Lepisosteus oculatus: one gene and its partner. The protein of the gene in region 2 interacts with the protein of the main gene of each other region in a pairwise test. Links are inferred from orthologs where the notes say so. Each region holds a gene or a part of one and is shown on either strand. Other genes may lie near its edges.

Evidence for each region. The genes of interacting proteins can lie anywhere in the genome.
Region 1: the proteins of rnf103 (region 2) and ube2e2 interact in a two-hybrid assay, tested with the Homo sapiens proteins (2 studies listed by BioGRID). The link is inferred for Lepisosteus oculatus from reciprocal best matches to the Homo sapiens genes RNF103 and UBE2E2.

What each region holds. Positions count from the first base shown.
Region 1 is NC_090705.1:30,631,382-30,639,686, forward strand, and holds the start of ube2e2 (ubiquitin-conjugating enzyme E2 E2), read left to right. Parts: upstream 1-4,811; 5' UTR 4,812-4,983; intron 4,984-7,177; 5' UTR 7,178-7,184; coding exon 7,185-7,360; intron 7,361-8,305.
Region 2 is NC_090696.1:35,726,018-35,734,413, forward strand, and holds the start of rnf103 (E3 ubiquitin-protein ligase RNF103), read right to left. Parts: upstream 3,544-8,396; 5' UTR 2,950-3,543; coding exon 2,724-2,949; intron 1,448-2,723; coding exon 1,305-1,447; intron 1-1,304. Other genes in the region: E3 ubiquitin-protein ligase RMND5A, read left to right, coding at 6,727-6,841, 7,138-7,296. UniProt on the Homo sapiens protein: Acts as an E2-dependent E3 ubiquitin-protein ligase, probably involved in the ER-associated protein degradation pathway.

The DNA of each region.
Region 1 (8,305 bases), on a different chromosome or scaffold from region 2:
TGGAAGAGGTGTTAGTGGGGCGAGCAGGGGGTGCTCACCCTGCGGTCCATGTGGGTCCTAATGCCCCAGTGTAGTTACGGGGACACTATACTGTAAACAGGCGCCTTCCTTCGGATGAGATGTAAAAACCGAGGTCCTGACTCTCTGTGGTCATTAAAAATCCCAGGGTGTTTCTCAAAAAGAGTAGGGGTGTACCCCGGCGTCCTGGCCAAATTTCCCATCGGCCTTTATCAATCATGGCCTCCTAACAATCCCCCTCTATAAATTGGCTTCATTACTCTGCTCTCCTCCCCACTGATCGCTGATGTGTGGTGAGTGTTCTGGCGCACTATGGCTGCCGTCGCATCATCCAGGTGGGGATGCACATTGGTGGTGGTGGAGGGGAGTCCCCATTACCTGTAAAGCGCTTTGAGTGGAGTGTCCAGAAAAGCGCTATATAAGTGTAAGCAATTATTATTTTTATTATTATTATTATTATTATTATTACTGATCCTTGTTTTTACTAATCCCAGCTAAAAGCAAATTTCCTTCCTGCCAGACATAGCATAGGCATCACCTTAACTGATGCTCCACTATACAAGGTATTGTACAGTACATATTACTATACTGTCAGCTGTACGACATATCATTGAAAGTAAAGTGGTTTGGATAACCCCTTTGTCTTGGCAGAGATGCTTCAAGCACTAAAAACAATTTATAGTCCCAGAGAAAGAGAAAAATAAAAACGTTAACTGGGGACTTGAGTATTATATGATTAAGTAAACCGACTACAGAGCAACATGTTGTTTAAATCATGTTCCAGCTGCATATACTGTATGTGAGGTGTTTAAGCTGCCAGCTTTTCATGTCTTGGAGCTGAAAACAGGGGACAATATATACAGCACATTAGGATATGCATCAAATCCCTTTACCATTAGTCACAGTGGTGCAAACTACTGAAACGGTACTACAGAGATGACCAGGCAGAATGCTAGGAGATGTGCTATTGTAGAACATTATATCATCTATATTACAAAAAGACATACATAAATGCGGCTTTAACTCCAAAGTGTGAAAAAACACAAATAAGCCAAAGCAATATACAAATGCACAAGCTAAAATCACCGCCATTCAAGCTTCTATGTTGTGGGTTAGTTTCTAGCCTTGACTGACTTGGATGATTGTTATGCTGATCTGATTGCTATAAGGGGTTTTTTAGCGAACAGTCTAGGTAATCTGAGTCAAGGCCGATTTAGATTAGAATTCATTCTAATTCTACAGTGGGCTCACAGTAGTGAACTCCATTTATAAACTTATCTGTGCAATTCAGTTATATTCTACAAAGCTATCCCACATAACAGAACACGCTGCTGAAATTGATTTTTTTCATTTTTAAAACATGCAGTGAACAGAACAAAACCCAGAAAATGCATGTTATTCAGTTTTCCCTGTTTAAATTGTGTGTGAAGACTGTAATTGGGAAAAAATAGGAAATCAGAAAAAATGTATTCTTTAGATCCTTTTTATCAGTGTCACTGGGATTAAATGGAAATATAAGTAAAGCATTCAATATGTTACAATAATCTTATAAAAAATGTAGAACTAACTCTGAAGAAAATCTATTACTGTTGCTTGTCACTTGTAAGGTATTTTGCTGCCATACAAAAAACTGTCTTGGAATTTTGACTAAACCAATTAGTTATGCACAGATTTAGTTTTTAACACTTGCCTGTATTCCTATGTAGGCCACTGCCAGGATCTGCAGAGTGGCACTAGTTTGTACTGTGCAGTAAAGTCTTCAGAAACGTATTGATATTCCAGTGGATCAGTGTGGATATTTTATGACAGCAACCATTTTCAATTCTCAGTTCAATGTCTTGGCAGAAACAGAAAGTTTGGCTGTAATTTTTCACAGCGTTTTTCCCACTGCATAAAATGCACATGGCATTTGCTTCAGAATAATGTCAGTATCAGTGGGTTACCGTTCGCTCTGTTTATAACAACAGCCACACGTATTGTTCTGCAACTTGTATACTGAAGAAAAACTCATTGGCAACAGCTGGTTTAAGATATTGAAATATTTTAGATTTGAAACACATTTAAAGATGAAATAATCTTTTAAAAGAAGCACATACTTCCACCACAGCATTAGTCAAGATGAACTTCATATTGATTTATCCTACATTTTCTTTCAGTAAATAGGAAACTTACAGTTGTTGATACTTATTTATTAGCCAGTGTACAACCAGAATAGACAGTGGACTAGTTCAGGAAGTTAGTTTTCCAGACTATATCTATTAACAAAAAAAAGAAAACAGTATTTTCAAAAAGAAGAGTGAAAGGCATGAATATCATTATTTTAGCAGGTACATTAAGCATAGTTCATGTAAAAAAATACATTTTAAAGAGAGAGGGACGAGTCAAGCAGAGGAATTTGAAGCAATTATAAAAAGATAATTATTAAAACACAATCAGTGTGCACAGCTGAACTGTCACTGATGTTTCCTATCAAAGTATTTATAAAATGCTTTATAAATATGTAAATAGACATTAAAAAGTATCGCTTGTCTTCAAAAGATGAAGTGCAGTTAAACTTCAATTTATAACGAACAACAATATGCCACTTTTGCAAACTCTTTGGATACGTTACATCAATCAATAGTTTTTTTTATTCCATTTCTTATTCAAAAAGAGTTACCAGCATGACTGGTGCAATACTTCCTTTTTATACAGTATGTGAAACCCCACAAACTCATATGATAGCCCATCATAATCTGACTAGCTGTATGTGCTTGGTATTTCTTTACTCTGATTTTGAGGGATTCTTTGGAAAACAATTCAAGCAAGTAATTTTAAAATGGCCTCACAGTTTAAATATTGGAATTTCTTATTTGGTTTACAAATCTCTTTGACATAAGCTTGGAGCATTAAATGTCAGACGGATATAACAGCTTTCAACACCAGCTACCAAGCACTCCCTTCGCAAAACTGACAACTTAACTTTTACAAAACCACTTCCATCAGCTTAGAATAACACAGCAGTACCCTCTCAGAAACAATGAATTTATATCACTAGGAAAGCACTTGGCAGTCTTTAAAACTGAAATGGTTTCATTCATTTTGTAAATGGCTGTACACAATAACACAAAGTGAGTCACTAACGATATTACCACATCAGCTATGCTTTCTTCACACTCATCTCTCAATGTGTGATGTTTGGTTTACAGGCTGCCAGCCAACCTATAGCCTGCAAGGCAGCAGCTAAAATAAAGAAGCTATAGCTATTGAACTGCTCTGAGTCAAGAACTGAAGAACAAAGCACATGGCTATCTGCTTTCAAAAGCAGGGGTCACAAACTTCAGTCTGTGAAAGCAAGGAGATTTTCAGCTAGATGTTCCACCTGAGCTACGTACAGTAGTTGATAAATCAGACAATTTTAACAAACTTTCCAAGCCTCTATCTGGTAAGGGATACATTTATAAATGAAGCACTTATAATAATGTGGTCTCATTTTTAAATCAACTGCATACAACCTGAAGGAAATACTGAAAAATATTCTATGCTGCAATTATTTGTGCAAAAGAGTAATTTAGAACTCAGGCAATTTTGCACTTGCGCTCAAGACTCACCACTTAAGGACATTTAATTTTGCCTTACTAGATATGTACAGTAATACTACAAAATATGTATATATTTATACAGTAGCATGGCAATTAAAATTATATTTTATATTTAATTTTTCGATCTTTTAGGCTACATTAATATATCAAAACTAGATGTTTTTACAGATTTGTGGAAACAACAACATTTAAATAAATGAATTCCTTGTTTTTTCTTTTGTCTGACGGTAAGGTTGCCACTCACAAGGGGAGTTGTTTACATGAGTAATGTGAATTTAAATTGATCAGAATTCTGCTAACAGTGTGTATTGCTACATTTGAATTTGTATTAAGGGAACTTATACTGTGTAAAACCACAATGTTTCTGTTGTGACAGATCTGAAATTAATCAGATTTAGTCATTGCTATGGAAAACCCCATCTTCAAGTGAGCTAAATAAAGTAAGCTGATAAATCGTTAACTGCTGTAACTAACGTGATTTAGGCACCAGTACAATTGCAATTTGAAAGGCTTTTTAATTAAAACACATGACGGGTAAATTTCTTGTTTCCATTTTATCTTTTAATTAGAAAAAAAAACTCAGAATGTGTGTAAATCCATTTAGAGCAAACGAGGTAAATAAATTATAAAACATAAAAATTCCAAATGAAACTTTCTAGTTTGTAAAACATGGTCTGGTTTGTTTTCTTTTACGTCTTTTTTTCATTTCAAAGGAAGAAATACGCCAGAGATATACAGCTATCACCGTTGCTACACCAGGGGGTTCATCTTTTGTGTTTTTTGGCAAATGCACATCTTTTTGAAGTGATTCTGCGATCCAGCATGGGAAACACGAAATAATAATAATAATAATAATAATAATAATAATAATAATAATAATAATCGAGAAAGAAGAACCTCTCTATTTCTTGGCCTTCTTAAGAAGAAAAAAAAAGTGTTACTATCTGTCTGCCTCTCCTCTCAGAGGTCGCCTGTGATCCTGACCTCGAGAAGTCTTCGCGAACAAAATCTCTATCGGTCTCAAAGAATTTAACGCCGCTTCACACCTCCCTTCCCCAGCGCAGAAGTCAGGCCACATGAGCGCGCCTCCCCGCACAACTTTATCCCATTTCGCATTGACATTTCCTGCTCCATTCTCTCCCCTCCCCCGGCACCAGCTGCGCCAGAACGCGCAGCGCCCCCCCATAAACAGTGCTCGGGAACGCGCGCGGAGGCGGTCCGGCTGCTTCAGTTTCTGTCGGCTGCGTTCTGTCTGTGTATACGTTCTAGTAACGAAAGACAGAGATAGAAAGGCAGCGAGAGCGAGCTGCTCGGGAGACACTTAACGTCGGGGTTAACAACAGTGATTTCTAACACCGACAGCCACTCACCCCGCTGCTGACAGGTAAATGCATCAGTTTTACTTTGTGACTCCGCTCTGAAACTGCCTAAAAAGTGAGGAAATGTCCCGTGAAAGTGACAGTTTTTTTTTTTTTATTGTGGGGGGGATGTGCTTAGCTAGTGTCTTTGTGCTGAAGCAGCTCTCGCTGTGGTCAGTGAAGAAACCTTATGATTTCACACATTTTCAAGCAGCTCCTATAGTGTTCACTTGCAGACGGTGCTGTTTAATTTTAGAGTTCCTGCAGCCAGAAAGACGAGCTCTATCTTTAAAGGATTTGAAGCAAACAGACTCCAGTGCGTTTTACTCTCGGATGTAACTGTAAGGCCTTTTTAAAAGGCATCGTTTTGAGTAGTGCGCACAATTCGGAGCTTGCATTTTGTGCAGTTTAACGTTCATCTGCGGCATTTTGACAGGTCTGTATGGGAAGCGGGCATTTATTTACACAACAAAGGTACACAATGCTTTGAGTTTTCTTGATTCTTTTAATGTAAACACATCTAGACGCCGAAAGGGTTAGACACTCTAAAAACTCTAGGTATTTGTTTAACTTTATGCGTATATCCTTAAAAATAAACTGCACTTGGAAATATTGCCCTTGACAGATATAAGTTCATTATTCAACAAGATTTGAGATAGCAGTTTTCACGCTTGTTTACATCGATTCAAAGAGCTTTGTAAGATCAGCAATTCAGATTACTTGATATAATAAGATTGATTCTAACGTTTTTTTTTGTGAATTACCAATGAATTCTAGGGACAAGCAGCCTAATGTATTGTAGCTGTAAGGCATCAGATACGTGAAAGAAATGAACAGTAGAAATCAAAATAAACAGATCGTTAAAAAAAAAACAAATGATACTGAATCTGACAGAACAAGCACGTGCTTATGAGCTATCAGATATTTTTAAAGATTAACAGTCCGCACACCTTGTAATGCCTTGCCGGAACTCGTTAAAAACCATCATCTTAACTATTTTAAATGAAATGGGCTTTTATAGTCGATTAATTGCTGCTTTTTGGAGCAGTTGTGCACATGCACACCTCAAACAGACCAGTAAAACAGTAAACGTTTTTTCCGCTTTGTGTTCTTTATAAATAAACATCGAAATTGCTGGTCAAGAGGACTGCTGTTCACAGTTGAGATAAATAAATGTTACATTTAACAGCTATGAAAGTGCCACTTCTAACTAGTGGTATTCAGTTCGACTAAAACGTGCTGTGGGTTTGTAGACCTTAGGAAGCATGACCGAAAAACATCTCTTATCCGAGTACAGGGGTCGTGCTGTTGTTTTTAGAATTTTGTATACAGTGTCTTGTGTGAATGCTAAGAAATCTATCAAAACCTCAAATCCCCAGGTATATCTGTTTTTAAGGAATACGCATTTGCTATCACTAACTATGCACTAACAGAGTAGATGTACAGCTACATTTACTCTGTAGCATAACAATCTCAAGTTTGTGCGTTTGTCGTTGTTAAGCTTGCTTTGCTCCCAGTAGTTCTAAAGGCACTTACCTGCCAGACAAAACTAAGGCTAATAATTTTGTTAATTTAGAGATTAGCGTAATGGGTGAGAGCAATAATTTTAAATCAACATCTGTTCATCGTCATTAATTTATATGCTGTAAATGACTTTGACATTGAAAAGTGTACTGATTTGAGAGTGGATGTTTTTTTAATTAGATCAAATCCAATAGTTAGGATTTTTTTTAAAGTGATATATTTGTTTAAACGTACACATAACTATTTTGACCTTTTACAAAAGGAAATGTCAATCTTTCTGAGAGGTGATTATTGTTGAAATATGAACTACAGTTATAACAAAAGCAAGCATTTTTGCCCATATTTTTAGTGTTCCATAGCTTACTTATTTTGTTAAATTCAGTAAAGTGATTATTTTGCTATCAGGTGTCTGCAGTACATACAAATATACAGTATGTTAACTATAGAGAGAATGATAAGCATCTCAGTGTGACAGACTCTGGGAACAGCAGCTTACATGATGCTATCAACATGTAAAAATATCCATGCATGCTGCTATCAAGGATATCCTGGGTGCAGGAAAGTTTAGCTCAAACCTGACATTATAAGCAGGTTTCCAATAGCTGCATGGAGCAGGTACAGTGTGAGATGGGCAGAAAGCACATCTGGTCAAGAGCAGTGGTAATCAAAGTCTGGGTTATGCTTTGTGATTGGAAGGACCAAGATGTCCAGTGAGGTACAAAGACCCGATGACAGTCCCAGTACAAGCGGGGGAAGCTCGGATATAGACCAGCGGGAAAGTGTTCATCAGGAGCAGGAAAGAGAACAAACACAGCCCAAGAAGAAAGAGACAAAAATCTCCAGCAAAACTGCGGCGAAGCTTTCGACAAGTGCAAAAAGGTAACGTTTCCCAGTTCAGTGTGGCCTGCTCCTGACACAGAAGAGATTATGGAACAAGTAAAGGTTTATTCCGTGCTGAGAAGAAAAGAGATGAGGTGTCCACACCCGAAGAAGGCTCCATAGCCACAGACTTTGTGTCTTTTTTTTCCAGCTTGGAATAAACCTTTACTTGTTCCTCTGCAGCCTACGCATGCTGATGCAGATACCCACTAGGAAGAGATTAAGTGCAAAGAAATATCAGTAGCACTGTAAACAGAAACATGAAAGCGATCTGAATTTACAATTTTTATTACAGTTCCCACTGTATCTGTGACCTTTTTATATGAAGTACTCTTATGTTCCTTGTTAGACGCCTCATAGCTCGATAGTTTCAAATCTTAAAATTAGTGCAGTGGTTCTAGCCTCACATTACAGTTAAGCTATTAACTTGACTTTTTAGTATGTGATTCCAGTCAGAATTTTTCTCCTTCCCAACATTTAAGCGTACGGGAATTAAGTAACACAGAAATAGTGTGTTTCTCATTGGGTAGTTAAGATGTCTTTAATTCGTACTGATTTTCAGTTACAGTACCTGAAATAGACAATTGGTTATATTTGTGGATTTAGCTATGAATTCAGTTATTCACATATTTTGTTAAGCATATTTTTTGTTATCAAGTGTCTACAGAATATATATATGTATTAAATCTAAAGAGAATTATAGGCAACTCAGTCTGTCCAGTGGTTCAGTATATTGGGTATATCTGGTAACAATTACCACTGTAATCATTAACATGCTTTTCAGCTGGCAGCTATGTCTTGTCAACTGTGCTGAAGAATACGTTCGGGGATAGGTTTAACTTTATATTTTTAGATTGACATTTGTACGGCATATGCAGTATGTTTAAAGCATTGGTACAGATTTGCAGAGACAATACAATAAGACTAAGAATTATAATTTAAAAT
Region 2 (8,396 bases):
GAAGGGAGACCTATGGCTGAAAAATTCCATTATTAAAAAAACAGTAAAAAATAATGCTGAAAACCCAGAAGTGCAGACAATGGACAGAGGGGAGGTGTGGTTATACAGTATGTCCCTGAAATCACCGGGTTTGTGGAGACCGAGGTCTGAGTGAGAGCTGAAAACCCAGCCTGCATAGGACAAGTGAAGTCAGGTATCCAGAAATTACAACAGGACAGTAGTATGAACAGCTCTGTTCAAGCAGGATCTACAATCAGCTGGATACTAAAACAGAATCGATAAAAACGCACCGCTCCAATAGCTTTTAAATTCTGTATCTTCTATTTTAACTAAAAAGTTAGTCAAGGCCAGAGAACAGAAAGCAGACAGACCAAGAACAAACAGAGTGATGTCTTTTGTGACGATCTCCAGCCATGACTTCCTTTTTAGTTCAAATAAAAGATAAATAATATGTCGCAGTTAAATAAATAAAGGAATTAAGGAGGAGAATGCCAGAAGAATTCAGTTCCAGAATTACACAAAACTGGCTTTCCAGGATTGTGCCACAGCTGCATTCGAGTAAGTAAACCCACTTGACCATTCTTCCCTCCTATTTGTTTAAAAGGGGAACAGCAACACTATTTTTATATTTCTAATTAGAAACAATCAGCACTGAAGAGTGCATTTCAAACCACAATGAAAGTAAAATGTACACAGAAAATGTGTAAAACCTCCAATTTGCATCACAAAATACACTGAATTTCCAGGTATGTGCAAAGCCATATTCTGAGATTCAGAATGAGGCAACAAAACTTCCGGTGATGTGTTGCGGCCTTATAACATTGTAAACAAGCAGGTTTGTGAATACATCTCTTTTTCCCCGACAGAACTCTGTCTGCAGATAATGTTGGGACAATTCAGCCATGAAATACCTGCTGCACAACCTGTACTTAATCGCTCATACATCAGTCATTTCAGTGACTAGTGAGCAGGAAGGGCCACATTGCTATTCGTGGGAACTCAAATGTGAGTTTGCGACAACATGGCGACTTACAGTACTTTCACAAAGTTGATTATTTTGTACTTAATTCGAAATGTGTAAAATTTTTCTTTAATGTCAATGAATTAATTTTGTTACCGAGATTTAATTACCGGACTGAGAAACTGGGACTGCAGTACGCCTGTAAAACTTAAGCTTCAGGGGTTTCACAGGGCATTTCACTGACTTGAAGGGTTCACTGTTCATTCCCAAAAGTGGTATGACTTAAAGCAACTCCCATTAAAAAAAAGGACACAGCTAGAACACTTTAGTCTCGCATTCTTACCTGAACCAACCAGATGCCATCTTTGGTGTCCTCTACAAGCTCATAGAAATGCATCTCTCCACTAAAAGAGGTGCTGGAGACTGGATCCGAGGCCTCCTCCTCACTCTTCAGAGCTGAATACAGCTCGCCCTCCATGAGATCACCTGCAGGCAGAAATAGTAGTGCTGAATGAAGAAAAAACAGACATGTACATCTGACTAGGCAATAAAACAGATCTGTTGTGGGACATACATGGATATTTGATATGTTACTCACTAAATATATGTCAGTACTGGGGTATGATGGAAATTTTTCTGTTAAGTTCAGCATTTTTCCTTGCTTTCTCAAGAACAAAAAAAAATGTCTGTTGGCAGAGTTTAGTTTAAACACCAACCTAACGAATGAGCTCTTTGAACCCAGAAGTTAAGTTAAAAACATATGCAAATGGATGGATTCAAAACCTTCATTTTAGGAGAGGGTCAGCATAAACCACCTGTTGTAATGCATTTTCAAGATAGTTTTTTTAAAAGAGATTCCTGGTAGTTGTGAAAGGGTTATAAAACATCACTTTTAGGGCACAGAATGTATATTGTTTGATTCAGTGAAAAGGAATTCACCACCGTTCCTTATCGGTACTTTGGAAACGTTTAATATAGATGGAAAAGAAAATGAAAACTATCGAGGGGGAAAAAATTACAACAATTTGAAATGTGTTCAGGAATTTCTGGATGAACAATCACGGACTTGACCACTGCTGTCCAGTCTTTAAAAGATCAAAAGGGGTTAATGAAGCAGTGGTCAATAAGCCATTCAACTCCCGCAGATACAACGTGTAGCGTAAATACCAAAATATTCTGTTCTGTTTTAGATTCTAGGCGTTAGTCGCATTATACTAAAAGTTTCCTTTATTTCTGTGTAGCTGAATTAAACTGAAGACTCACCCCTGTATTTTCTAGCTTCTTAGGTCGTGTGACAGATAACAAGCTTTAAAGCGTTCTCTTTTTCACTTGTCCGCAGAAAAAAGTAGGGACCCTTTCCTGACCTCTAAGTATTAGAAATACCATAGGTTTGTGAACCCCCGTAAAAATAATATTTATGCACGAAAAAAATTTGGACATGAGACAACCGTTGATTTGTAAACTTAGTGCGAAATAGTGGAACACCTCAAATATCTTAGAAAAATAATCATATCACCTAGTTCGTTCTATTAAGACTAAAGTAATTCAAACGATATCTTTGAGAGAATGTTTGCAGCATGGGCTACAAAGGAAAGAATTCCCGTAGCTTTTTTAACCATGCAGTTAATTTTTACAAACAAATATTACACAAATTAGCTCTTCTTGCCATTCTTTAGGTGTAAAAATAAACACAATAGAGACGTGTCGAATGAAGAGGACCCTTTGTGACGTTCTGGCTCCGACACAATGCTTTAGAACTTACCTGATTTCTCGACCAGCTCCCGGACATCCTTCTTCTCCGGGAGCCCGGAGTACCCCAGCCCTCTGCATTCCAGTATCGTCTTCAGCTTCTTAAAGCTCAGCGTCACAGGGTCCACCAGCTGAGTTGCAAAAATACCAGTTTCATACCACACGACAGCTTCGAAAAACCGTGCCAGAACGAATAAGACCAAAAAATACAACAGCAGAAAAAACAGCTTCAGCCACATTTTCCACCTCCTTGCTGCAACGGGAATATTTTTAAAACGCTGGCGCTACGATTTCCGGGTAGGAATAGGCGAGTAACCTACGTTGCATTTGGGGCTCGTCTATTTCTTCCTAAGACTTGCTTTCATTTGCAGGCTTCCCCTTTAGCGCTGGCTGAACTTGAAACTTTTAAAAAACAAAGAAGCAATCCACTCTCCACGATCAGCGAGCTAACAAGGCCCGTTAAGGCCAACTGTACAGTCTCTGGATGTCCACCATTTTCAGAAGTTGTCTTGTGTGGGGAAAAAAAAATCAAATACAGTGCGAAAGCTTAATTTACGCTCTCCCTAAAACAATAAGATGGTCAGCTTTTGCTGCTTATTCCAACCCTCCCAGCGTGCCAATTGTGAGCAAATTCATGACATGTAATGACGAGTTCAGATCACGGCATTTTTAGATAAGCGATAGTTGCCGTTGTCCCTACAGTTGCTGATGTTGGAGCGCCTTGCCTGCCAGATCAGCTGGCATGCATAACAACATGACGTCACCGACAGGAAGGACCGACGAGACTTGTTTCATTTTCTTCCAATGGAAAAGAAGCGAAGCTTTTGGATTCGTAATAAAATAAACCTTGTTTATATCACGCATTGGATTCCAGCATACTGTAAGAGTATAAACCGATTACACGGGCTGTGGTAATTTAAAACCGTTTTTAAACTTACCAAACTAAGAACCATGACCAAAATGTCTGGATACAATACATTTAATTGACTTTAGAAGATGTGTTTATTCTTTAAATATGGTTAGTAGAGTTGTGATGTAAACTGTAAGAATCCTGGAACAGAATTACTTTAATGTTAGCATATAAATTGAAAAGATCGCAAAACGTGGGTTTAGCAGCATTAAAAAGGTTTGTTTTAAAATGCACTGACATTTTCCAAGAATGGTATTTTAGAAAATATCTTCACAAAACAGCAGATCTGGTCTCACAGTACAACAAACGCTTCTGTGTTGTGTAGCAGTGTCCATGTCAAACCCTCAGAACACCCACATGCTCAAACATACATGGCAGAGACACTGCAGCTTTCTATCCTGCCAATATACAGAATGTGTAATAGGCAAAATGAGGCAGGAATAGAAGCTGCAGTTGCTACATCAGCTTCTTACAATAGAGTAGGTATTAAAAGTGGCAATTAAACATGCTTTGTTTTTAGTCAAATAGATTTTGTGTACAACTAAGTGTTGGATAACTGATATCTTTTTGGAGCAAAGAATGTGAGTTTTCAATGAGCACTTTAAAAATATTATTTATATTCCAGATGCTATACATGTTATTAAGACAGCTATTAAGTACCGAATGCTCTCGGAGGAAACTGCAGTTGAAATTGTGTGAGTCATTTGCACTAAGAATGTGATTTCCCTCTCCTTCTCTTGCAACTGTATAGAATTTTCATTTAAATTTCTTTCCAAACAGCATGTAGTTTGATAGGCAAAACTTCTCTGAAATTTAAAGCTCAGTTTTCTTATTGTATTAAATTATTAAATAGTCATATATGTAATGAGTTAATACACCGCATCCGTTGCAGAGACACAACAGTCATCATCAGTCAGGCACATACTTTTTATTGGGCTCTGCAGTAAGTAGTGCCTAGATAAATTAGTAATTGTCTTTTTTTTAAATGTTGTAACTGAAATACACATAGAAAAAAGTCTCAGCCATGGCATGGCTACATGGCTATCGTGTCTGTTATTAATAAAAAAATATAGCATTGTCCATCTCAGTCAATTCACTAGTGGGTGAAGACTTCCAAAAAAAAAACATTTTAGGAACTTGTATTTTCTACTATGTTTGCCCGACTTGTTCTGGTGATTTTCCTTCTTTACTATTTTCTTCTGTATTTACATACACATTATTGTGTAAAACTGTTCTATCCTTTTCATTTAGTGTTTTCCCTGCTTTATGCAGAAACAGAATTCAAGCTATCTTCTCTTGAATATACAGTATAGCCATTGCATTTTAAGATAAGTTCAATCTGATAGATCTGTATATTGCAATGCAAACATAGCCTGTAAGCTTATTGATGTATGGACAGAAATAAATAATAATAATACACTTTTATTTATAAAGCTCTTTTCCAAACCCAAGGACGTTGTACATCATGAATAAAGAAAAACAAATTAAAGTACAATAAAAAGTACACACAAAAATAAACAAGTGCATACAGGGTTTAACAGATGTAGTCAACCAGATGTAGACTTTGGTAAAAGGAAAGTTTTGAGTCGTTTCAAAGAGCTTTTTAAAAAGTTATCTTAAAAAAGTTGTAGAGTCTGAGAAAGGTCATTCCATAACACTGGAGCAGCAACAGAAAAGGTACAGTCACCAAAAGTCTTTGATTTAGTCCGGGGTAAAATGAGCAAAGGACCAGACCATTTAACTATTATTGTTAAATGATATTCCCACTAAGGAAAACCTCATTAAATTTATTAAATGTGTAGAATTAACTACTACAACACTTACCTGTATATGTGCTACTCATGTGGAAGTTACCTCAAGTTCTTCTATACTGGTGCTAGCTAATTCTCACCAATATGAATAAAATGACAAGCTTCTATTTGTTATACTACTACACAACACTTGTGGAGACTTTGAGTAAATTGTTAATTCTCACAACATGAGCCAGCAGCCATATCACCCTGCAACTCACAACTGGCAACCCACTGAAACTAAGCAGGTGTGAGCCTGGTCAGTACCTGGATAGGAGACCTCCTGGGAAAACTAAGGTTGCTGCTGGAAGAGGTGTTAGTGGGGCCAGCAGGGGGTGCTCACCCTGTGATCCATGTGGGTCCTAATTCCCCAGTATAGTGATGGGGACACTATACTGTGAACAGGTGCCGTCCTTCGGATGAGATGTAAAACCAAGGTCCTGACTCTTTGTGGTCATTAAAAATCCCAGGGTGTTTCTTGAAAAGAGTAACCCTGGCGTCCTGGCCAAATTTCCCATTGGCCCTTACCAATCATAGCCCCCTCTATGAATTGGCTATATTGCTCTGCTCTCCTCCCCACTGATAGCTGATGTGTGGTGAGCTGCTGTCGCATCATCCAGGTGGATGCTGCACATGGATGAAGTGGTGGTGGTGTAAAGCGCTTTGAGTGGAGTGTCCAGAAAAGTGCTATATAAGTGTAATTATTATTATTAACACAGACTTTTGCACACTATTGTATATAACACATTACTTCCAAGTTTTCATTTACAAAATATTTAAGAGTCTTGACTTAGACGTGTATCACTGCACTTGTTAATTATTCATAAAATCTTGCTAAATCTAAGGTGTATATTTTTCACAAACTCTCATTTATAAATATAAAAAGCTTCACATCTTCTCTTTAATTTTCGTCCCCTTTCTCCAAAATAAGTACTAATTTGAAATATAATTGGCTAGTCAAACGTAAAATAATCATCAAAACATAACTTTAAACCAATGTGATCAAAATTCATATCAGTATGCACAAAGTGCAGAGCGCTAAATGCATTCGGTGGCAGTTCTGGTGTAACCACATTCTCAGCGCAACTCTTCGCTGCGTCACTGATTTCAGAGTAGTTCGATAATATTACTGCCAAACAGTTAATAAAATGTGCGTGTAGGTCATTAATAAATGGATAAAAAATCTATATGACTACACACTGAATTGATGAAGGGAGCTATATTCAAAATGTCACACAAACTTCGATTTGTAAACATCATTACGAAGTTTCGTAAATTGGTAAACAAACACAAGCCACGGACCGAGCGGACTCGGGATGTCAAACGGAAGTTCCGCTACGCTCAGTCACGCGATTCGCTCGGTCCTGTCACGTGGTACAGCAGGGGACGTGATAACTGATAAAAATGTGCTGTGTTGCTTAAGAACAGCAGGTAACTAAAGCTTCTACAAATTCTACCTTATTCCTTTAGATATATTTTTGCATTTAGGTATATACTGAAAAATTGGTTATGTTTCGCGTGGTCCTAATATTTTCGGCACCCCCCTGTGTGCCAGCCTGTTGGTGTCGCCCTTGGAAATCGGGTCAATGTTCAGGTCCATTAAAAACAAAAACATTCTGCTTACGCCAAAGTTGAGGTGAAGGTGTTTTGGTTTTGATTTTTTTTTCGTGTGCGTGTTTGGCGCTGCGTGTCTTTCCCTTTCTTAAATTCTGATTGTATTTCTGTAGCGCAGACGAGCAGCGTCATGGATCAGTGTGTTAATGTGGAGCGGGAGCTGGAGAAAGTGCTGCAGAAATTCTCGAGCTACGGGCAGCACTGCGATAGGACACTGGAAGAGCTGATCGAGTACACCAGTGGCCTGAAACACGAGATAATACAGACTGGCGGTGAGTTTATATTTTGATGAGGGAAACGTGGAATGTCATCTTTGTGTTTATCGAGCTGTCGTGAGATCATCTTCCAGACCCATGAAAAATGGTCAGCCCGTTTTAGTTGTATGGGCGAAGGCCTACAGCCAGGTTAGGTGTGTAGAAAACTTCGATGTCCGATTGCTTTGTAAACGTGCCAGTTCCGCAGGATTGCGGTTTCGCACAGTTTCGTTTAGGCCTGTTTGTTTCTTGCCTCCGTGAGTAGTCACGTGTTTTCTGCGTTCACGATTTTGTCTCGTCTCAGTGCAGCAAAACACCCGGTACAGTAACTACAGTGTAGTACTGGTACTGTACATTGTGGCGGATATGATCCACTAGTTAACATTTTGAAAAGAAACCACGAAGCGCTGAAAACCCGATAGAAGTCAAAAGCGTGCTTATCATTTAAGTGTTTTTAAACTTGCCGTTTCTGTGTTTTGTATTGGAAGGTCCTGTGTAGTGATGGTTGTATGTGGCTTTCCTTAACTGTACTGATCGTTTCCATTCCTTCTGGTACAGGGGAAATAGTAGTGGCTCAATACTCGGTACAGACCTTAGGCTTCTTAATAAAGACGTTTAGTGCAAATGATCTTTTAGCGACACCCTTTTCATTTAACATGTGTTCGGGTGAGTTTGAAGAAAACGTTTTTTGGCGCAGGAGTCTACTATAACATATCACATGGTCGTGTTTTTAGAGCACGAAGAGCAAAGGTTTAGTACAGCAACGTACAAGCGCCACTTGGGAAAATACTTATTTCCCCAGACCTGTTGCTTTATTGCGTATCGGGAGGTGTTGTTTCCATAACGAATTGAAGAACGACGTTTTAATATGCTACATAATCGATCGCTATGCTACAGTTATACCTGGACTGCTATACGGCCATTTTTCATGGACATGCCGTGACATGTCATCCTTTTTGGTCCTTAAATCTCCAAGGAATTTTCAAATATCGTAAAACGTCCGGGATTTTTCCTTGTTCTTTTTCCCCAAAGGTTTTCGAAGCATAATGGTTCTTGGGATGAAAAGAGAGTGTTTATTATAGAGTTGTGGACGTGTCTAGCTTGGTACCCCGTTCAGT